Saccharomyces cerevisiae S288C: one gene and its partners. The gene in region 3 interacts genetically with the main gene of each other region. Each region holds a gene or a part of one and is shown on either strand. Other genes may lie near its edges. The genes, in order: SMC3, TOR2, PPZ1 and RAP1.

The links.
Region 1: mutations in PPZ1 (region 3) and SMC3 together harm fitness more than expected from each alone (negative genetic interaction), as found in Saccharomyces cerevisiae (2 studies listed by BioGRID).
Region 2: mutations in PPZ1 (region 3) and TOR2 together harm fitness more than expected from each alone (negative genetic interaction), as found in Saccharomyces cerevisiae (2 studies listed by BioGRID).
Region 4: mutations in PPZ1 (region 3) and RAP1 together harm fitness less than expected from each alone (positive genetic interaction), as found in Saccharomyces cerevisiae (2 studies listed by BioGRID).

What each region holds. Positions count from the first base shown.
Region 1 is NC_001142.9:298,627-304,649, reverse strand, and holds SMC3 (cohesin subunit SMC3), read left to right. Parts: upstream 1-1,800; coding exon 1,801-5,493; downstream 5,494-6,023. Other genes in the region: JEM1 (Jem1p), read right to left, coding at 1-1,469; APQ13 (Apq13p), read left to right, coding at 5,774-6,023; NET1 (Net1p), read right to left, coding at 5,836-6,023. UniProt on the Saccharomyces cerevisiae protein: Involved in chromosome cohesion during cell cycle and in DNA repair. Central component of cohesin complex. The cohesin complex is required for the cohesion of sister chromatids after DNA replication.
Region 2 is NC_001143.9:57,328-65,158, forward strand, and holds the start of TOR2 (phosphatidylinositol kinase-related protein kinase TOR2), read right to left. Parts: upstream 6,033-7,831; coding exon 1-6,032. Other genes in the region: MNN4 (Mnn4p), read right to left, coding at 6,603-7,831. UniProt on the Saccharomyces cerevisiae protein: Phosphatidylinositol 3-kinase homolog, component of both TORC1 and TORC2. TORC1 regulates multiple cellular processes to control cell growth in response to environmental signals. Nutrient limitation and environmental stress signals cause inactivation of TORC1.
Region 3 is NC_001145.3:238,922-243,456, forward strand, and holds PPZ1 (salt homeostasis regulator), read right to left. Parts: upstream 2,616-4,535; coding exon 537-2,615; downstream 1-536. Other genes in the region: TATA-binding protein-associated factor TAF11, read right to left, coding at 3,068-4,108; TRM9 (tRNA (carboxymethyluridine(34)-5-O)-methyltransferase), read left to right, coding at 4,304-4,535. UniProt on the Saccharomyces cerevisiae protein: Essential for the maintenance of cell size and integrity in response to osmotic stress.
Region 4 is NC_001146.8:239,694-244,672, reverse strand, and holds RAP1 (DNA-binding transcription factor RAP1), read right to left. Parts: upstream 2,985-4,979; coding exon 501-2,984; downstream 1-500. Other genes in the region: IES2 (Ies2p), read right to left, coding at 1-205; PPN2 (putative serine/threonine-protein phosphatase), read right to left, coding at 3,362-4,342; ssDNA-dependent ATPase MGS1, read right to left, coding at 4,672-4,979. UniProt on the Saccharomyces cerevisiae protein: Essential regulatory protein in yeast whose DNA-binding sites are found at three types of chromosomal elements: promoters, silencers, and telomeres.

The DNA of each region.
Region 1 (6,023 bases), on a different chromosome or scaffold from region 3:
CGGAAGTTCTTCATCACGTATGGATTGGTCGACTCTGAGAGGCCGTTATCTTGGAAAAATTTGTTTATCTGGTCATATAATTGCTTTTTGAACTGTGAATGAGGTTTAGACCTACTTTTATTAAGTATTGAGTTTACCATATACATCAGCAAATGAGGATTGGAATTCCATACATCACTCAATACCGTCTCAGGTAAAGGTTTTTGCTCGGACTTAGCATCCTGATAGTGTTTCCATGTTTCTAGTGTTAGTGAATGCCTCAAACTCTTTTTACAGAACGGCGCAGCCAGTTTAGCTCTCTTGACGTCCGGACTCATGCTAGAAGCCTGACAAAGAATGGAATCAATGTATACTAGATAATCGGTATGATAGTATGATTTTGGTTTGACAAAACCATCGGTTATTGGGGGATCTTCGAATAAATTTTTTGCCAAAGGTCTCGACAGTTGAACGTCTTCTATCAATTGTTTGATAATTTCCTCTAAAAAGAAGTAGTTGTTTTTAAAGTTTGTATCTTTGTTAAGAATTTTCATTGGTGTAATAAATGGCTTCTTATCCTTCAAATAAAATTCAATAATTCTATCCCAACTTCTAAACTTTTTGTTCTCAAATGCATATGTTGCTGGATCCAGGATCTGTCTTTTTGATGGATTCACCTTGTTCAATTTGGAAATAGTCAGGCTTAGTTTTTTACATTTATCATAGTCCATATCAATGGAAAGGCATTTTCTTATATTGAACGACGCATCTGAGTTAAGTACAAAGGTCTGTAAAACAGATATGACATAATGAATCGAAAGTCTTGTATCTATGCTTAAGCTAGCCAAATGCTTGTCGAGGATTGTTTCGTAATCCAAAATGATAGCAGCAGCTAACGAAACGTCAATTTCTTCAGCTAGTTTGTGAAAAAGAACATCGATGTGCGTGGAGAGGACGTTAACATCGTACGGCGTTATGCGTAGCAGCTCAGAAATATCTTCCTCCACAGAAACGTCTTTGGATGATATTTTGTTTCTGATGGTTTCATTCAAGGACAGATATTTCGCATACTGATCATCCTTCTGATGCACCTTGTCCCACATCCCAAAATCGACATACAGCTCTTGTAGCCTCTTTTCCGCCAGCTTCCCAAAAGAACCTTTGTAAGTTTCATTAAAAACGATTTTTTCAAATGTGTTAATAGCTCTTAGATGTTGATCGTTGGATAATTGGATCAGCCCAATTTTGTAGTATATTTGATTGGCTAGTTGAATTACGTCTGACATATTTTCACTTGCTGGATCCGCAGTCATGCAGTTTTGTTCCAACTGCCCAGCGATCCATTGGTATTTTGGCAAGGATTCAGTGTCTACTTTTAAATTCTTGTTCAATCGTTGTAACTCAGCCAAATCACATAACTTAGAAGCCGATATCAGTACTGGCAAAATAACGCTATACACTAAAAGACAGTATCCCGAGATCAGTATCATACTTCGTTTCGTAGACGTTAAGATCGGCCTTAGTAATACACTAAACCAACAATGAATGAAACCTTCTGGGCCCTTCTCGCAACCAACTCCTTTCACTTGGAATAACTTATAAGCAGTTTTGGCTCTATTTTTGCCTGCCATCGAAGTGTACACCTGTCACATTTCACTATTAGGAACCTAAAGAAAAAAAGTCTCAGGAATAGGAAAAGACGCGACGCGTTAGGAAATGATTAAACTAATTAAAGATGAGTTTTCAACCTCATCTTTAAACAGTTTCACCATTTTTTTACAAGACGACCTGCTGGAGTAACGGTAATAGTTCACGTCTGCAATGTATATCAAAAGGGTGATAATTAAGGGTTTTAAAACCTACAGGAACGAAACCATTATTGATAATTTCTCGCCGCATCAGAATGTTATTATTGGCTCCAATGGTTCAGGTAAATCGAATTTCTTCGCTGCGATTAGATTTGTTCTTAGTGACGATTACTCTAATCTTAAGAGGGAAGAAAGGCAAGGGCTTATCCACCAAGGTTCTGGTGGTTCAGTGATGAGTGCCTCGGTAGAAATTGTGTTCCACGATCCAGATCATTCTATGATATTGCCCTCCGGTGTACTTTCGAGAGGAGATGACGAAGTGACCATTAGAAGAACAGTAGGGCTGAAGAAGGATGACTATCAATTAAATGACAGAAACGTGACCAAAGGGGACATAGTCAGAATGTTGGAAACCGCTGGTTTTTCAATGAATAATCCGTATAATATAGTACCACAAGGTAAAATAGTCGCCTTAACTAATGCCAAGGATAAGGAAAGATTGCAGTTATTGGAAGATGTTGTAGGAGCTAAGTCATTTGAAGTAAAATTGAAAGCTTCATTGAAAAAAATGGAGGAAACAGAGCAGAAAAAGATTCAAATTAACAAGGAAATGGGTGAACTAAACTCTAAATTGAGTGAAATGGAACAGGAACGTAAGGAATTAGAGAAATACAACGAGTTGGAACGCAACAGAAAGATCTACCAGTTCACATTGTATGATCGAGAATTAAATGAGGTTATCAATCAAATGGAAAGACTGGACGGTGATTATAATAACACGGTATACTCTTCCGAACAATACATCCAGGAGTTGGATAAAAGAGAGGATATGATTGACCAAGTCTCCAAAAAGCTATCAAGTATTGAAGCTTCACTGAAGATCAAAAATGCGACTGATTTACAACAGGCAAAACTACGGGAATCTGAGATTTCTCAGAAATTAACAAACGTCAACGTAAAAATAAAGGATGTTCAACAGCAAATTGAGTCAAATGAGGAGCAGAGAAATTTGGATAGTGCAACTTTGAAAGAGATCAAATCTATAATTGAGCAAAGGAAACAAAAGTTGTCTAAAATTTTACCTAGATATCAAGAACTCACAAAGGAAGAAGCAATGTACAAACTTCAATTGGCCTCCTTGCAACAAAAGCAGAGAGATCTTATCTTAAAGAAAGGAGAATATGCCCGTTTTAAATCAAAGGATGAACGCGATACGTGGATTCATTCAGAAATTGAAGAACTGAAATCTTCAATACAAAACTTAAATGAACTGGAAAGTCAATTGCAAATGGATCGTACTTCTTTAAGGAAGCAGTACTCTGCGATTGATGAAGAGATTGAAGAGCTAATTGATTCTATCAATGGACCAGATACCAAGGGTCAATTAGAAGATTTTGATTCGGAATTAATACACCTCAAACAGAAGCTGAGTGAAAGTTTAGACACTCGTAAGGAATTGTGGAGAAAGGAGCAAAAATTACAGACAGTCTTGGAAACTTTATTAAGTGACGTCAATCAAAATCAAAGAAATGTTAATGAAACCATGAGTAGATCATTGGCAAATGGTATAATAAATGTGAAAGAAATTACAGAAAAACTAAAAATATCACCGGAATCTGTCTTTGGGACATTAGGTGAACTGATTAAAGTCAATGATAAGTACAAGACATGTGCTGAAGTAATTGGAGGTAACTCCCTCTTCCACATTGTCGTGGATACCGAAGAAACGGCCACTTTGATTATGAACGAACTATATCGTATGAAGGGTGGGAGAGTGACGTTTATTCCCTTGAACAGGTTATCTTTGGACAGTGATGTTAAATTCCCCTCAAACACTACTACACAAATCCAGTTTACTCCCTTGATAAAGAAGATAAAATATGAACCCAGGTTTGAGAAGGCTGTCAAACACGTTTTTGGAAAAACTATTGTTGTCAAAGACTTAGGTCAAGGTTTAAAATTAGCTAAGAAACACAAACTCAATGCCATCACTTTAGATGGTGATAGAGCAGACAAAAGAGGTGTACTTACAGGTGGGTATCTTGACCAGCACAAACGAACACGTTTGGAATCATTGAAAAACTTAAATGAATCAAGAAGTCAACACAAAAAAATACTGGAAGAATTAGATTTCGTAAGAAATGAACTAAATGATATTGATACTAAGATTGATCAAGTAAACGGGAATATAAGAAAGGTTTCTAATGACAGGGAGTCTGTCTTAACAAATATCGAGGTATATAGAACATCGCTAAACACCAAAAAGAATGAAAAATTAATTCTCGAAGAATCATTAAACGCAATTATACTAAAACTAGAAAAGCTGAATACAAATCGTACATTTGCTCAGGAAAAGCTAAATACATTCGAAAATGATTTGCTTCAGGAGTTTGATAGCGAACTCTCAAAAGAAGAAAAGGAAAGATTAGAATCTTTAACAAAGGAGATTAGTGCAGCGCACAATAAGCTAAATATTACATCAGACGCCCTAGAAGGTATAACTACAACCATTGACTCGTTGAATGCCGAATTGGAGTCCAAACTTATCCCACAAGAAAATGATCTAGAATCCAAGATGTCAGAAGTAGGTGACGCATTTATTTTTGGTCTACAAGATGAGTTGAAAGAATTACAATTGGAGAAGGAAAGCGTTGAAAAGCAGCATGAAAACGCTGTGTTGGAACTAGGTACCGTTCAAAGAGAAATTGAAAGTCTCATTGCTGAAGAAACTAATAATAAGAAACTGCTAGAAAAAGCAAACAATCAACAGCGATTACTATTAAAGAAGCTTGACAATTTCCAAAAAAGTGTTGAAAAAACGATGATTAAGAAAACAACTTTGGTTACTAGAAGAGAAGAATTACAGCAAAGGATTAGGGAAATTGGGCTTCTGCCAGAGGATGCTTTAGTAAATGATTTTAGCGACATCACAAGTGATCAGCTATTACAAAGACTGAATGATATGAACACAGAGATTTCTGGTTTGAAGAATGTAAACAAGAGAGCTTTTGAAAACTTCAAAAAGTTTAACGAAAGACGCAAAGACCTTGCGGAGAGAGCTTCAGAGCTGGATGAATCTAAAGACTCAATTCAAGATCTAATTGTTAAGTTAAAACAACAAAAGGTTAACGCGGTTGATTCTACTTTCCAAAAGGTTTCTGAAAACTTTGAAGCTGTTTTTGAAAGATTAGTTCCCAGAGGTACTGCTAAGTTGATTATTCACCGTAAGAATGATAACGCTAACGACCATGATGAAAGTATTGATGTTGACATGGATGCAGAATCCAATGAAAGCCAAAACGGTAAAGATAGTGAAATTATGTATACAGGTGTTTCAATTTCTGTTTCCTTCAATTCTAAACAAAACGAACAACTGCATGTTGAACAGCTCTCAGGTGGTCAGAAGACTGTATGTGCCATTGCTTTGATTCTGGCAATCCAAATGGTTGACCCTGCTTCCTTCTATCTGTTTGATGAAATTGATGCTGCACTCGACAAGCAGTATAGAACTGCAGTCGCTACACTTCTAAAAGAACTGTCAAAAAATGCCCAGTTTATTTGTACGACGTTCAGAACAGATATGTTGCAAGTTGCAGACAAATTTTTCCGTGTTAAGTACGAGAATAAGATTTCCACGGTTATTGAGGTCAATAGAGAAGAAGCAATCGGATTCATTAGAGGTAGCAATAAATTCGCTGAAGTCTAAGAGATATTTGAAACGATTTGTATATAAAAATATCAGTTTTGCTTACATAAATAGCTATTTGTATGTAATTATTACCATTGTCTCCTATATTGGAATTTTAAAAAATTTTCTTTTAAGATGATACTGTTACTAAACAATAATGTTAAATATAGTAACCAAGCTTTGATAATTCGACGTACAAAAAAGATTACTTTTCTTAAAGAAGTTGCCCGCTTGCTGGGAAAAGAGGTAAATAAGAATTGGTTTACATGAAGATTTTTTAATATATTAATACTTTTATATGCTTGATTATTTTTTTTTACTAGCTTTCTGTGACGTGTATTCTACTGAGACTTTCTGGTATCATTTTTTCTTGAAATCTTTTATTAATGATGCAAATCCACCACTTGGCTTCTTCTTCTTACCTAAAGCAGCACTAGCGGATTTCGCACTAATAAAACTTTTTCCATCATCAGATGAATCCCCTGAGTCATCAGAATCTGACTCAGATTTAGAATCTGAACTGGAATCCGATACGGAGTCCGAACTGG
Region 2 (7,831 bases), on a different chromosome or scaffold from region 3:
TGGAACGATATTTCCCTCAAAGTTTCCGGTCCTCTCTTCAGCATTTCGTACAGAGGCTCTAAAGCAGCAAACATTTTTTCGGTATTATGTTCTCCAAAAAACTGCCTACTGGCGTCATCCAGACCCTCATACCATTGCTCATGCCAAAGCACCGCCATACGTATCAATTCGTGGCTGACAAGTTCAGCCTGGTCGACCAAAACTGGACTATGTATTCTCATCTTTTCTATGATGGACAAAGCTGCTTTCTGTCGTGAGAGAGATTCGGATTTAATCGCAACCATTAAGGGGTACACTAATGCCTGCGGATGAGCCTTACCTAGATCAGATAATAGGGAGAGTAATGACCTACTAACAATTTGATTGGGTTGATGAATTCTAGAAATTAACTGTGGCAACACTTCTAACCATGTGCCTATTTGGATTAGGTTGAAACCCTCGTGCATAGCTTGGGTTGCTTCTGGAATACCACCAAAAGTAAACCATAAAGTTAATAACCTTAATGCATCTTGAAGAGAGCTTGATTCTGATAAAGAAATGGAATGAAAAAAACCCTTAATTGCTGGAATTACGTGCCTGTGTATTAAATTAGAAGAGTAATGAACTTCCTTAGCATCAAATGTATTGACGCCGATCATGCCATTATCAAACTCATTAATATCAGTTACCGAGGAAGCATCACTTCCTTCCTGTTTCTTTTTAGAGACAGATGTTAGCATAGAAATGACTTCAAAATTGGCCAGTGCCCAGTTATGCCACGCTTTGTACCATGTGTTGTCAAAATGTGTAGCGAGCAAATAGGAGCCTAGGATCGAATCTGGATTGCTCAATCTCCATTTAGGCTGTAAGCAAACTCTCCATTCTCCTTGCTTCAAGAAACAACGAGCTAAAAGCTTAGTATAATCTTCAACGTGACGAGGGACTCTTTTGCTTTGTTGAGGAACGCTTTGAGCTATCATATTATTTGGATCCAAACCTAAATCATGAGCCATTCTAGATGTGAAATTAATTAATTGCTTCAAAGCCTCATCTTGCAACCCCGTAGCCCACAAGTACTTCAGTTGTGCATAAACAACTGGAGGGGATGCCTTAGCAGTATTAGGATGATCTGGGTCATCTGTTTCTTCAAGCAATGTATTTAAGACTTTTTTAGCTAGCGCCATCCTACCCGATTTTCTGCATAAGTTGGCAAACTTAATCCTCACTTGAGCATCCTCCTTTGGCTTTATCACCAATGATCTGACACGCAGAATTCTTTGCCACACATCAATATTTTTTTGACAGCCCAGTAATCTGGTATTCCAAGTTTCTCTCATAGTTAGACGTTTATCTGAATTTTGTGGCAACTTCTTATATTTGATGATTTCCTCCAACTCTGCTATAATCTGCGCTCTAACAACAACATTATATGCTCTATTGTAGCTTTCATTAACAAGAGCTGACAATTCAGTAACTAGAAGATCCCTTGCATTAAAGATGTGAACTTCCGCCTTCTTAAAATTATTCCTATGCAAACATAAAATTGCATCATAGAATTCTTTATCTGGAGACTGCGATTTCATGACGCTAGTATACTGGGCTATTTCATCCCATTGCTCCAAACCCCAGGCAGCGCCGGCAGCCAAAGGCGCCATTGCCTTCTTCACTTCGGGTTTTGCCGTGCCCCACTTTTCAGATGCCAATTTAGAAAGCTCTTCCCACTCTCCAAGGGCATATAACGATCTTAATTTTCCCATCATCACTTCAACCGAATCTTCTCCTGCTGCCTCCTTCTCATTATATGCTGCAAGAGCATCCTCCCAACGTTGAAGTTTTTCATACCAAGTTTCCTTCAGCTGCAATTCATTGTGTTGTTGCGCATGCTTCAAAATACCAATAGCAGAATCAGTTTGGTGAAGTTGATTATTAATGCTAATCAATGCCTCGATTGTTGAATTTTTCGGCTCTTCTAAGAATTCTACCTCTTTGTAATGTAGTGCCTTCGCAAAAGCATGACATTTTTGGGCATACTTACCTAATGTATGGATTGGGATAGGCAATGGTTTGTCATCGTGCTCCATAAATTCCACTAAATTTAACAACATTTGATAAATCTCGGGTGGGTTTTCAGAGGATGATAAAGCCTTGCATAATGCTTGAATCAAATCCTCTTGGTATGACGTTTGAAGCTCAACCCAGCAACTTGAGAATGAAGCATTAAACAATTCTCTCGCCAACGGATAATAAACGCTGACTAAACTCGAACAGGATCGTAGACAAGCTGAAGGTGATTCCTTTAGAAGCTGAATAGATAGCCTTCTTATCCATTCTTGCCAATCTTCTTTGGTCTTCTGTTGAGAACAATACCATGCATTCTTTAGGATATTTTGGTTTACCGGTAATTTCGTTACTTGCATTTCGTCTTCATAATTTTTCCTTTCAGGTACTTCGTTCTCCTTGTCAAATATGATATTTGTTGGCAAGCATTCATTGTTCAGTAATTTATTAACCAGTTGATCGTACACTGAATGCTGAATCCTATTCCTCAATAACGCCTTGTTAATCACTGGCACAAAGACCACAAAGTCGGTACCTAGTTGTAAAAGGAGCAAACTTAGCGTATTCATGGTTGCTTTTGTTAGTTCTCTATCCCCATTATTCAAAATTCTTACCAACGCCTGAACAATTCTTGATGACATTTCAGAGAGGTTGATATTCTTTGCTAATCTACCCAAAGTTATAATGGAGATTTTCTTTAGACTTCCAGCAGAATACTCAGTCATTCTAACAACGATAGGCATAATCAAATGGGAATAGTCTTCTAGATTCGGCCCAAAAGTAACCAAAGATTTTAATATACGAATCGGAACGATCCTTTTATTAGACTGGTCGTTCTCAAGAATATCAAGGAAAAAGGTTAGAGTCTCGGGAACAAATCTTTTAAACTCACCTTCCAGAGCCTTAGATATCGATTCTATGACAGAAATAATTGTGATTTGTAGTTTAATGATCGGGAAAAACTCCCTGATCACACCATAAATTTTCTCGACATGGGGCCTAATATGTTGCTTGACAATTGAGATGAGAGATCCCAGTTGCTGAAAATAAAAGTCAAGTTGGGACGGCGGGCATGAACGCATGACTAAAATGATACCTGGAATAATTTGATCCAAAAAGGAGACACATCGTAAACCAAGGTTTTGAAAAATATGCATAATAGCTTGAATAGCAGCCGTGTGATGGATTGACAACGATGGATCATTCAATATCTTCATCAGATTGTGGATAACTACAGTGGGGTAATATTCATCGTTGGATGGAGATACCCCTTGCATTAGCAATGCGATGTCGATTGAAGGAGCATTTTGCTCTACTGAACTCTTTGAGTTTGATGTGACTTCTATTTCTCTGTGCTTATATGGATCAAGAGCGCCTAATATACCAATCAAACGAACAGTTCCACGCCTGATATGAGGGTTGTTTTCAGTCTTAAGAATATTTATCAAAATGCCAAGTAACTCTGGGTAGTCTAGTAAAGGGCCAACAACATAACCAGAGGAAGCAGCCAGCTGTCCTAATGTTGTTAAGGCGGCATCTCTTTTAAAAGAGTTTGATTGGTCCTGAAATGTGTTAATGATCAATGGCATCAATTCCTTTAAGTAACGCGTCATTTCTTTTCCTCCAACAACAGATAGTTCACCCAAAACCTTTAAAGCGGTGGATGCTACGGCAGATGAAGCATCCTGGCATTTAGGAAGAATGACGTCTAGAATAGGATCAATATAAGGTTTCGCTACTTCATCGCTGGAATTTATCAGCGTACATAATAGAGTTGCACTTTCCTCCTTTTTTTTTGGCATATTTGAGAACTTCAATTGCGTTAATAGTTCCAGTAAAGTTTTCCTCAAAGAAGGAACTACATAAGCGGGGTTGACAGAACTCAATCTGCCTATTATTTTGATAGCTTCCAATTGAATACCAAAAATCTCATCGTTCAGCGCCATGAAAAGTAGGCGTAAATTGTCTGGTTGGGCCAATTGAGGATCAAAATTTGACCCCAAATGCTGAAGAATTTCCAATCTAATTTCTGCAACCGGATCAGTTATTGCGATCATTAATAGCTTACTTAGCACTTCAGAAACCGAGTGTAAAGCATGAACTGATGTTTGTTTACATATATCGTCTTTGATAAATAAATCACACGACGTTAATGCTGCCAATTTTCTGACAGACGAATCCTCATGCTCAATGTAAGAAATGGTTATAAGCCTAACAAACTCCGTCAAGGAATATTGATGATGAATTAGTTGCAGCATTTTAAAACACTGAATCAAAATTTGGGCATCTGTAATATCGTCATTAGATTCACCAGTTTTTTTCATGAAACTTTGGTTTCTTGATTTACGAGCCTTTTCAATGGAAAATTGATTATTAAAATCGTATTGGTTTGATTGAATAAATTTTTCACCAGATAAGGATATCGACAGTAAATTTAGTATCCTCGAATTAACGGTAGATTCCAAAGAGGGTATTTTCTCGTTAAGGATCATTAAAGTCTCCTGCATATGGTCGGACATTGGACAGTTTAACATCAAATTAAGAAGATCTTTGTTCAAGTGCTTAGCAAAAGCTGGGCCCAAAGCACAAGCTAATTTACCAATGCAATAAAATAAATCCTTCTCGAATTGTTTTCTAACTTTGAATTTCGTTCTTAAGCCTTCCCTAATATTATCCAGAATAAGTGTCATATAGGGTGAAATGCTCGAACCAACTTCAAATGCAATATCACCTATAGAAACTAATATAAAAGGTTTATCCGAATTATTTGCAGCATTCATATCGATGTTCTTCAAATATCTTAAATAATGAACCATTATCCTATCGAGATATTTCTTTGTGAAAATGGCAGGGTCAAAAGCAGCTAAAAGAGGTAAAATAGCATAAACTTCTCTCCTTATAACATCAAATTTATATTCCTTGTACTTCATAGTAGATTTGTAAATATCATCATATTTATCCCTGAGATAAGGTGCTTTCAAGCTGAGTAATTCTCGAAATACCAACAGAGTAGCATGCACTGAATCATTCGTATTGAGACTTAAGCCATGTGTACAACCTTGAAATAATCTTTGAAACCACTGTTTTCCCAAAGCAGGGTCTCTATCCTGAATAATAGTAAGACATTTACCCAATGCCACTGCGGCATCTAATCGTATAATTAACTTTGCATCCCTTAATGGCACCCAAATATTGTCTAAGATAGAGTTAACGTAAGGGTATAAAAGATAGGGTGAATTGTCTGCTAATGCCTTTATGATTAATAGCGCAGCATGTCTCCTGTATTCCAACTTAGAGCTCGATGAGTTATTATCTGCTGTCAGAGTAAGCCAATCAATGCAAGTTCTGACCTCAAATTCGACGAAATCTGATGTTAATGTACCACCTGGCACGGTCAATCTACCTAAGGTGTTAGCCGCTAATCTCATAACTTCAATGTCACTGGATGGAATTAAAACACGTAAATAGTTCGCCAGTCTTGAAGTTTGGTTTGGCAGCTCCTCTGTACTCAGGTAGAATGAGATCAGAGTATCAACAGCAAGAATACCACCTATCTTCTCACTTGAAGTAAACCCGTGAATAAGTTCAAATATCTTATTGTTTAAACTGTTGCTAAACCTTTGAAATTGCTCAGCAGATACTTCCCTTGCTAATGAGGTCAAAGTAGTGCTTAATTCATTAGCGCCAGAGGCTCGTTCTTGTGGCACATCGCTTTTAAGTTTATCAAAAATCAAATTTAAAGTAGAAAATGTTGTATCTAGTTCTGAATCTACAAAGGATATTTTACCAATATGACCAGCAGAACCAGTGATCACTCTACCAGAGTCATTGGGCCCATTGTGATTGGAATCTGTGTTTGAAGTAGTTGACATCTCATCATCGTGGGAGTGCGATTTGTGTGTAAGTTTCTTTCTTGTTCTGTGTTTGCCTTCGGCCCTTTGTCGTAAAGACAATAAGTTAGGTGGCGTGGTGTATTTGTTAATGTATTTATTCATTTTTCATATGGGGAAAGTAAAGATCAGAAATCTCTTTGAGAAAGATAACTATTTGATCTTAATGACTATGCTCTTTATGCACCCGGTATATTTTCCCTTTCTACTGCTCCTAATCTACCTGTAAATAAATACAAGTAAAGCTCAGTTAAGGAAGTGATTGGTGTCACGATGATAAAAATTGGTCTTTCCTACTGTCATTACATTTCTTCCAATTTTAATTGCTGCCATATATGTCAGTCTCTATTCAAACATATTCAGTGCTTAAAAAGGAATATCCGGGTAAATATTCTGACATCGCCCAAGAAATATACGATATAACTTAAAGAAAAGAGTTGTAGTAAGCTAATAGCATTAAGATTAAATGTATGTTTGATTAATTGCAATATCATGATGTTATAGAGTAACGTGGTATAATTACCACGATTCCGTCGAATTGTTTGCCACTTATCACTGGCGCCAAAATGCAGCAGTATGTAAAAAATGACGGTAATAAATATATAATACAAATGCATAGAGGAAAGGCTATAGAAATGAAGAGATTCATGAATTTTCAGTCAGGTTCTCCGACTTTTAATTGCTGTGCCCCTCCTCCTGCTTCTTTTTTTCCTCTTCTTCGTTCTTCTTCTTTTCTTCCTCTTCCTGCTTCTTCTTTTCTTCATCTTCATTCTTCTTGTTTTTCTCTTCCTGCTTCTTTTTTTCCTCTTCTTCGTTCTTCTTCTTTTCTTCATCTTCATTCTTCTTATTTTCTTCATCTTCATTCTTCATCTTTTCTCCTTCTTCCTGCTTCTTCTTCTCTTCTTCTTCCTTCTTCTTTTTCTCCTCTTCCTCCTGCTTCTTCTTTTCTTCTTCTTCCTTCTTTTTCTTCTCTTCTTCTTCCTTCTTTTTCTTCTCTTCCTCTTCCTTCTTTTTCTTTTCTTCTTCTTCCTTCTTCTTCTTTTCCTCTTCTTCCTTCTTCTTCTTCTCCTCTTCCTCCTTCTTCTTCTTCTCCCTCCGCTTTCTTTCTTCAAGTAACTTGGCATAAGCATAGTCCTCGTATACAATAATAGGGTCCTTATCAAACATTTGAATACCCTTTCTGTTAACGTCGGATAAAGTTGGCGCAAAAAGGTCTAAACCATATGAATTTAAATCCAAAAAGGAGTTGCTACTAAAGTTTAAATTTGATTTAAAATCCACAGGATTTACTTCAACAGTATTAGCAGGAGTATAATCTTCTGTGTTATCATCTAGAGTTGTTCCAGTTTCATCAAAAGTAATGTTGAAAAGTGAAAAATTCCTGTATTTCAAACTTTCGGACAGATCAATAATTTTTCCGACATATTCTTCATGAACAATCTTGGTAACTTGATCTAATGTAGTCTGGTTCATAGATTTTGATAAATCCTTCCACATAGCTTTTTCATAACCAAAAAGAAATGGGTCCTTTGCAGGGGAGCTTAACTTAGGAGCAACATTAATGCGCAATTGATGTAATAATTTCTTTTTTTCAATAAATGTCAGGTTTTGGCAGTATTGAATTTCCAATTCCTTTTGCCTATATGCAGTGACATTGAAGGAATTGTACAAGTTAGTAAATACCTCGATAAAGCCAGCTTTTGGAATATTTTTATAAATTAAGCGAACATCATCCATGGATAGGTTTTTGAAAGAGTATTCAGAGACTTTGTTGGAATCAAAAAGTTTCGACTCAAATTTCGTAGACGATATTTCTTTCAAGAGGTTCGGATTCCATGAATTAATACTGGGGATGTTTGGATACCATGAATTAATATTACTGCATTTCTTTAACCCGTCATAGT
Region 3 (4,535 bases):
CCCCTTCAGTTGTTTTGAATTTTTTTTTTAAAAAAAATTCGTCTTTCTGATTAATCAATTTTGATTATATATTTTCTCTTGATTAGTTCACAATTTTTATAGGCCCTTATTTCTTAAAGAAGTTTTATGAAGTTTCGTAAGTATTGGGGGGGTTGAAAATAATCTCTCACGTTATACGCAATAAAAAATTAAAATTAAGGAGAACCAATCTATAGAAACGAACCATTGAATTTAGCTATATGACTATATACCATTACGTAATTTATATAAACAGCTTAATATAGCGAAAGCAAAGTAGAACGAAATTTCGGAGAGTTCTAGATTGTATAGAGCGAATGAGCATTCAATACACACGCGAAGGCAGTAGGCGATGAAAGGAAGTTTTTTAATGTCATTAAGAAAAAGATAGGGAACTTCTATTTCCTGTCTTTCATATATATATATATATATATATATATATATATGTGCATATGTACATCGTTGAGTTGTTCATGAAATAATGAATATAATACTTCTGGATTTTTTAGTCAGTAAATTTACTGTTGAGATTCGTTATCATTTGTGATGCTTGTTTCCATCATTTGCTGTTGTTGATTAGCCAGTTTTCTTTCCTGTCTACCTTTCTTCATAACTTGCTTCAAAGCTGCACTATCTAGTGGATCTAACAATTCAAAAGAGCACAATAAACCTTCGCTGACGCTCATTACAGCCCCCCAATTATCAAATTCACCACAATAATTTGGCGCGGAAAACACCGTAACGAGACTTCTATCATTGAAAAATTCATAACCGTCTTCCACAACCATGTGAGCTCTACAAACCAAATCAAACCCAAACTTGTTCAAGAATTTGTTAATTGCCACCTTATTATAACAGTAACTTACACCACGTTCGTTATCCTCCCATTCGTTGGGTGAATCTGTGGGATCGGACCACAAAAGATCATTAATTAAGCCAAAATCTGGTACATCAGTAGGCCTAACTACATGTCTGATTTCATCCATAGAATTTAAAACTGGCGACAATCCACCATGAACACAAAAAATCTTTCCGGCTACGATAGCAGCTAATGGTAATGTATTAAAAGTATCGATGAATGTCTTCCAGATCTTGATGTTACAACGACGTTTACATTCATCATAAAATCCATAAACCCTTGTGACGTTAGCACATTCATGGTTGCCTCTCAATAAAAAGAAATTTTCAGGGTATTTTATTTTGTAACAAAACAATAGTAAAATAGTCTCCAGTGACTGTTTACCACGGTCCACATAATCACCTAGGAATAAATAGTTCGAGGATGGTGGGAACCCACATTTGGTAAAAAGCCTTAAGAGATCCCCATATTGGCCATGAACGTCGCCTACAATTTTTACAGGAGGTGATAATTCTAATAAGGAAGGTTGAGAAAGAAAGATTTCACGAGCCTTGATGCAAATCTGTAAAATTTCATTGTTCTTCAAACAAACATTTTTTGTTCTCTTAGCAGCGTAGCCCGCATCCAGTAATTTTTGGATAGTTTCATCAATATCGATAGGCTTTTTGAATTTTTTTGGAGCGTTTTTGTTTCCGGAAGATTGCATTATATCATTAAATTCCTCATTCGGATCTTTTTTGCTATCTGTTATATTATTATTTTTATCATTAACATTTTCCATTGATGCATGGATATTACTCAATTGAGATGAATTTTCAATGTCATCATCATTGCTGATGTGTTTGCTCGGGTAAATATCGCGACTTGAATGGTGATTCAATGAGGAGGTTGAATTAGAGGTAAAGTATTCACCAGAGTGATCTGTTAGCTTGGACAAGCCTGGAGAGTTTAATGGGGTGCTGTATGCGGTATTACCATCTGATCCAAACGAAGATTTCCTACTGTGTAGCGAAGATGCATGAGAATTTGACCGGGTTAATGCCTGAACGAGATAATTCTCCTGATTGTTAGAGGAGTATGATCCATTGTTAGGCTCTTCATGGGTCACATCTGATTTCCTTCTTGACACTGATCCGCTTCTTATACTGGACGGACGAGAATTCGAAGATCTAGAAAACCTTTTAGTGTGCGAGATGTCGTTGTCTTTATCATCATTGTCATCATCGGTTAAGGCGTTCTCATAATAGGTAGATGAGTATGAAGATTTATGCTTGGATACGTGTGTGCTACTATTGTTTGTTTTTAAAATGGGTGACTTGGGTTCCATTTGGATCATTGAAGGTGGTAAATCAGCAGCAGCCTTAGTATTATAACTTGATCTTCTAGAAGTAGAAGGCCTCTTAGTAGAGGATGATGAAGGAGTAGTTAACAATTCGTTTTGAGAATTTGAATGCGAGTGTGAGCTAGATGGGAAATGGTAACGATTCGTGTGAGAGCTATGTCGTTGGTGATTAACCTCAAGATTGGGCTTTGATGGAGTGGAGGGATCAGGGACGTTTGAATTAGTATTCGTAGTGGACGAAGAAGGAAGAGATCGCCTTGATCTTGAAGATTTATTTGATTTTGCAGACTTCACAGAATGGGAAGTCTCGGTTCTCGACACTTGAGGACGAGGATTTCTCGAGGAGGAATTCGAATGTGAATCCTTTTTCGAAGATTTTGAACTTGAATTACCCATTTTGAAAAGGAAGGAAAGATAAGCAGAGAGTGGTTGATTTGTTGTTTTATGACAAAGCCTCTAGGGGAAAAGAAGCGACTATAACGATGAAATAAAAATAAAACGATAAAGAAAAGTATAATCAAATGTATTCCAAAGAAGTACTTTTATATATAATCTTTATATTTAACTTGAAAGAAAAAGATTTAACATGTATTGCCAAAACAAACAAAACTAATAATGGAAGCTATTGTATTGTGCTTTTATGTTACCCACCTGCCAATGGTTCACAAGAGAAAGCTGATTAACAGAATTAGAAGATCTGCAGTAATCGTTTTCTTTTTTTTTTTTTCATTAATTTATATGCTATCCTTTTAAAAATAGACATGTCATTTCAAACGACATGTTAAAAATTATATATATGTTTATATATAGATTGATATATGTTGGAGCCGTTGGACAATTATGGGCAGCTATCTGAACATGGATCCCTGCCCTTCTCCTTGAGTTCTCCAGTAAGCGTTAGGCAAAGTGTCCGACTGCAGACGGTAGAGTCTCCACGCCTCACGGATGTGTTCGGGCAATAAGGGACTGTTGTTATATTTCTCGATGCTTACATCTAGTTTGTTGAATTGGAGGACGAGCTTATTGTACTGCTCGATGAGTTGTAGCTTCAAGTCCTGTGAATTATGGTCTGATTGCTGTAAGGATTTGGACTGTAGCAACGAGTTGCCCAGCGTAGTTTCGCGCTTGTCTACTTCTTCATCGTCGAAGTAGAAATCAGGTTCGTCTTCGGGAACGCTATCGGATTGATAATCTTGCTTGTATTGCTGGTTTTCTATGATGGAGAAAGTCAATTTTTTTAGATATTTTTTCAATTTATAGCCTATTTTGGTCCTCTTATCAAACTCTATGCACATTTGACTTGTCAACCACTTATTCTTCACAATCATGGCCAATTCGATTATCTCACCAGCGTATATTTTTCCCACCGCTTGCAGAAAAACACGAATATTTTCACTTATAGTTTGATTAGCTACTGTGCTAGCCAGTTTTTTGACCTGGGTTTTGTTTAGGGATGTTCTATGGAAAACTTCAAACCGATTAGTTTGATCTTTATCCAAGTTGGTTACCAAGAGCTTGAATTGTTCGTCCTGCGCAAGTTTTTCATTTTCATCTTCGTTGGTATTGGTGTCTTCGTAATTGCTATTTTGTGTTTGCTGTTGTAAAATGTCTTGTGGAAAGATCAGGTTTTCTGGGACTTTGTTGATAGAGTCCGGGTCTTGCTGATTTATCCTGGTTTTCTGGTATTTGTATTTTGGATATTTATTTAATTGGTTGTTGATTGATGTACCACCCGTTCGCAGGTTTTGCAATTTCCACGTAACGTAGTCCTGGTCCTCACTGATGACTTGGTCAATCATTTGTTTTGTGGAAAAATAGTTTGCTATTGTCAGTATTGGCGGATAGTTCACTTTCGGGATGGTGTCCAAAGGACCTTGAGGTTCGGTCATCGTTGCGCTGTTGAAGCTCAAACTTACTTTGTGCTCTTCATTTATATGGATAATTATCTCTATATACCTCTTCTTGATTTTTCAATTTCTTTCAACTTTTCAGTCGAAGAAATGGGAATAAGAGAAAAAATTCGGTAATGAACTGAACAGAGATGAGGTCTCGAAGAGCCAAGAAATAAAAGGTTAAGAACCAACATGGAGATAAACCAAGCGGCTGAAAAAGAACAGGAGTATGTTCACAAAGTGTATAATGAGATAGCTCCGCATTTCTCGCAAACTAGATATAAGCCATGGCCCATAGTGACTCAGTTCTTGAAGACTCGCCCAATGGGTTCCATCGGTATCGACGTCGGGTGTGGCAATGGAAAGTACCTCGGAGTGAACCCTGATATATATATTATCGGTTCAGATCGCTCAGATGGTCTTA
Region 4 (4,979 bases), on a different chromosome or scaffold from region 3:
CCACAGAAAGTTCTTTATCTCTAATGCGTTTTGAGGTTCTTACACCCTTAGGTACACTCCTACGTGCTGTTCTTCTAGATGATTTGGCTGTGACTATCTGATCGTCAATATCTTCCGTATAATCATCATCGTCAATGTATTCTTCCCCACCAGCTGAGACGCTGTCGGATAACTCTGCCTCAATGTCACTTGCTTCACTGTCCATTGTAGTCTGCTAATCGCCAGTTATTTGCTAGTTAGGCGTTTTATCCTTGAAGAAAAGACACGTTAAAAATGAGAATCTTCGTTCTGCGTTATACTTTCCTCCTTTTCTTCTCTCTTTTTTGCTAATGGGATTCTATAAAACTGTTCCGCCTTAATCATTGTAAGAATTTTGAAAATTAAAATACGTAAAAGTTTACATAAATTATACATTGAACTGAAAAACAAAGTAGAAAACGTGAATCAGTGAAATAAAGGAGTAAAATAAGTTAAACAATGATGTTACTTAATTCAATTACTCATAACAGGTCCTTCTCAAAAAATCTTTTCCTCATTTCCATTCTACCAGTTCCATGCTTTTTAACCAGTTTCCTTATTTGTTCTTGATCATTGCTTTTTAGCGATTCGTCGTCATCATGTGTCCAAATACCAGGAACGTTGGGAGGAGGATTAACATTGTCCTTAAACATGTTCAAGAAATAGCGAGGAAAGACCATCAGATCCCCGGATAAACACGTCAATATGCTCGTACTGAAATTTTTACGTATACCAGTTTCATCGCAAAGATCCTGTACCAGTTTTTCAGCCTGTGATGGCTCATAATCTCCTGAAATAACTTCATGAAGTTTATCCATAAATTGTCTCGTACTGCCAAAATGAAAGAACAATGGCAGGAAAAGATCTGTTGTTGCAATTTTTGGTGGAAAGCTTATGGTATCAGGATCAATATTATCATATATATCTTCATTCGAAAAATCGCTTCTTATAGCTTCCGCAATCTCGTGTGGATACTCAAAGGGCAAACTATTTGAAATATTGGATAGATCATTCTTTAAACTGGAAATGAAATTCATGGTATCTTCGTCCAGTAATTCGTTTTCTGGTATAGCGTAAGAGTTGGAAGCAGCGGCAGCAGCAGCGGCAGCAGCATTAGCGGACGCTGCATTGGCAGTAGGCTGAACATTTCTTTGAGAACTATAATTTCTTGCCCTCTTGGCGGCAGAGTTATAATTGCCAGGAGTGGGAACGCCAGGCCTCTTGGGTCTATTGGTGAGGTTCTTCATCGGTTCCGGCTCTCTATTCTGAGCTTTTTCAGCTTCATAATAACTAATATAATCATCAATGCCGTAAGCGAGAAGAAACTTCCTAAACCTATCTCTCCAAGCATTCTCAGTATGTGCTGCATGCTCTTCGGCAAAATGCTTGAAAAATTCTCGTGCAATCGGTCCCCTACGGCTTTGGGTTCTGTAAGCTGCAAAGTTGGGTTCACTCCCTGGCACATGATTTGGATCCATTGTCATATTCCTCCTCGCTATAGCAGTGGGTGTATCCTCATCTGTGATAAGTGATCTTCCAGTATCAGGGTCGATTTGAAACAAATCACGATAAAACTGCTTCTTGACCGCGATTGCCAAAGTGTAATCTTCATCTGCTGAAAATTTCCTTTTAATTGATGGTGGCAAAACTTTAGTCTTTATCAGATTTCCATCGTCGTCTCTAACCAATTTACCAAACTTGTCAACCTCATAAACGTACTCTAGTCTTTTGGAAAGATAGACTCTAAATCGGTGCCTAATAGAATTACCCGTGTGGTTAGGCACATAATGGGATATTTCATCGTAAAGAGTATGTGTTGTACGCCTGGTTGGATTTTTTCTCACAACATCCAAAATAAACTCATCTTCCTCATCTGTAAAAGAAGCTTTATTGTGGGAGGGCAAAGCGCCTCTCGAAATCATGGACCTTTGTGCTTGAAAAGATGCATTCCCCTCATCTGCTGTTTGAGGGTTGTTGTCCTGTGTCAAAAGATCATTGTCTTCGTCGTTGACGTTGCTATTATTATTATTGGAGGTATCTTTTTGAGGTTGTTCGATCTGGACCAAGTCATTGTGCCCTCCGCTTGTGATTGATGCGGTGCTGCTTACATGTTGACGAAGGAGCTGAGCTTGCTCTTGTAATCTAGCTTGTTGTTCAGCGTCTACCATAACTTTTTCGCTGGTTGAGTCTTCCGTAGCGCCATTAGTATTCGTAGAGATTATTTCTGTTTTGGGCCTGATAGAATCCTTGTTATCGCTATTGCTATTGCTATTATCTACACCATTAGAATGCGATTCCTCCTGCAACCTACTATCGACAACTTCTCTAAAGTTATCGTATGGTACTAAATAATTTTCCATGTTCAGTAGCGAGTTGCTTTGACAACATGCCTTAATATAAGTCGGAGTTACCGTTGGTAAATTGGTATGATTATAGGGTGACACGATGAAAACATTCTCTTTTGATTCTCTTGGCTTGGAGTCTAGCACTTCACCACCGTTTGCTCTAATCAGACGCGCTAATTGATCAATATCATTTAAAGAGTCATGCGCATCCGCGTCGCGATTAAGATAGAATTTCATATTTGACAGAGGAGGACCACTTACTTGTTCCTTTTTCTCATCAGCAGCGGTGTCATCAGTAGTAGGTTCAGTAACAGATGCACCTGATGTCGAAGCAATGTTAGCGGTAGCAGCAGTATCAGCAATGGAAGGCGTGGTAGTTGTTACACCGACTTCAGTGGTATCATCATCATCTTTCTTTTCGACCTCCGTCTGATCCACTTTCTCACTAGTTTCAGCAGCAGTAGCACCAGTGTTTTCTTCGTTTTGATTAGCTTTTACCTCAGCGGCTGAATCCGATGGCGCTGTGACTGCAGCAGAACCACTGTCAACAACGACCATACTCGGATCCAATGCATCAACATATTCTGCTGGTGCAGTTTCAAAATCATCTGGACTAGACATATTGAGATAATCTGTACGCAAATAGTGTCTTATGTAGGGCGGTTGCGTATACAACGGTTTGTGTTTACTACCTTTTGGGCTATGGGTTTGTTTTGTTTAAAACGTGTATTGATGGTGTTTAGGTGCTGGATGTTGGGTGTTGAAGAAATGATTGCGGTTGTCTGTTTTCGGTTTTGTTTTCTTTTCTCGCTAAATTTTAAAACTTCAACAACGAAGAAGAGGCGGGTAGCGGCCATTGGGCAAGAATACTTGTAGCTCCAGCGAAAGTTTCATTGAAATTTAAGATTCAGTATTATGAGTTACATAATAATATTCATATCTTTTTCATATAGTACATTATATAAAATCTGTTGCGCTTTTAAGTAGTACTTTTTGTTTTAAGAGCATTGTACTTGAATTAATTCATAGTCATATTGCCCCTTCTTAATATCGTACTTCACTTTCATAGATGAAAGCAGATTGTTCTTTATACATGCTGTGTCCAAACCTTTGGTCTGTCTCCGTAGGTTTAGTCCCATGGATGCATCGTGCCCGTAAAATACTTTGGCGTTACTAAAGTGGTCTCCGTATTTGTCCCACAGTGTGTACCATCTCACATAATTCTTGTTTTCCTTTTCACGTGATGTTTTTGACCAGTTCTTCTTATCAACGTACTTCATGTTTGACAGAGAGCTCACGCCCGGAATTTGGTTGGGCTTCATGAAGTCTCCCGGAACCATCCCTGCATGTGCACCAAAGAGTATATCACCGGTAATATCCAGATCTAGTTCTATGGCCATAGAACAATGTTCCGCTAGCTGACTTAATTTGGAAAACCCAAGTTCGCGAGCTAACCGTCCATGTGCGTTGCTGATTTTAGAGATGTCTTGTGGTATGAAATTAGTCTCCGTACTGAAAGTTAAAGGTGTCATTAATTTGGGGCGTCTTACCCATTTCGAGAAGTCTGGGTTTAAATAGGCCATCATGACCAATATTTCATGATTGCCCAAAACGCACTTGACTTGATCCTTGTGATTTAGAATATACGACACGACCTTGTCTGAGTCCGGGCCCTTGTGAATAAAGTCACCCAGCAATATCATTGTTATATTTTCTCCTAGTCCTCCAATCTTGTCATCAATGAGTTCTATGAACTCATCATAGTTACCATGAACGTCACCAACAAAAACGTACTCCTTATTTAAATCTGTTACATGCTCAATTTTCTTCAAGGTGCTAATTGTAGGCAATAAGGAAACTGGTGGAGACAACCGAGGGTTATCAAACTTGAATATATATAGTGTATAAACGCAGCATGCCACAAATAATATCAATGCTGTACTAAGTGTAGCGGCTCGTCTTTTCCGCTTATCTTCCATTTTTGCGTATCTATGCTCCTCAAGCCTGGCTCATTTTACAAGCTGGAAGGTCGAGGAAAAGGAAGAACTAATTCAAGAATAATGTGCTCTTCTTATAGGATGCGTATATGTTCTAATATATCTCAGATGGGCCCGCGAGACTTTTCTAGCATGAAAAAAAAAGGTGGATCCTTGATTATCTAAAATTATAGTTTATATCGTTCATGCTGCACAAAAACGTGCCAGCAATGCAATGCGCCTCAAGCGTAAAAAAACAAGCGGCATTGGCCAACAGAGAAAAAAATATGAATTGTAGACGCGGCATTGAGAGAAGTATGGAAGACCCTTGACTAACCCTGATATGACTGTCTCAAGTCAGGATCTTCTTTGTCTCCTAAATGTTTGCCGTCCAGGAACTTTAAGTCAGTTTTATTTGGACATTTCTCGAGCACTTCTTTGGGAAAGTAGTCTTGTTGGACTTTTCCTTCAATATAATCGGGATTGTACTTGTAGCCTTTATGATAACCCAGCTCCTCCATCAATTTGGTTGGCGCATTTCTGATATGCATCGGTATCTCACTGCTTGCTAAACTGTACATGTTCTCGCTCATCATTGCCCTTAATTTCTTCCAAGCTCTATATAGTTCTACTGACTTTG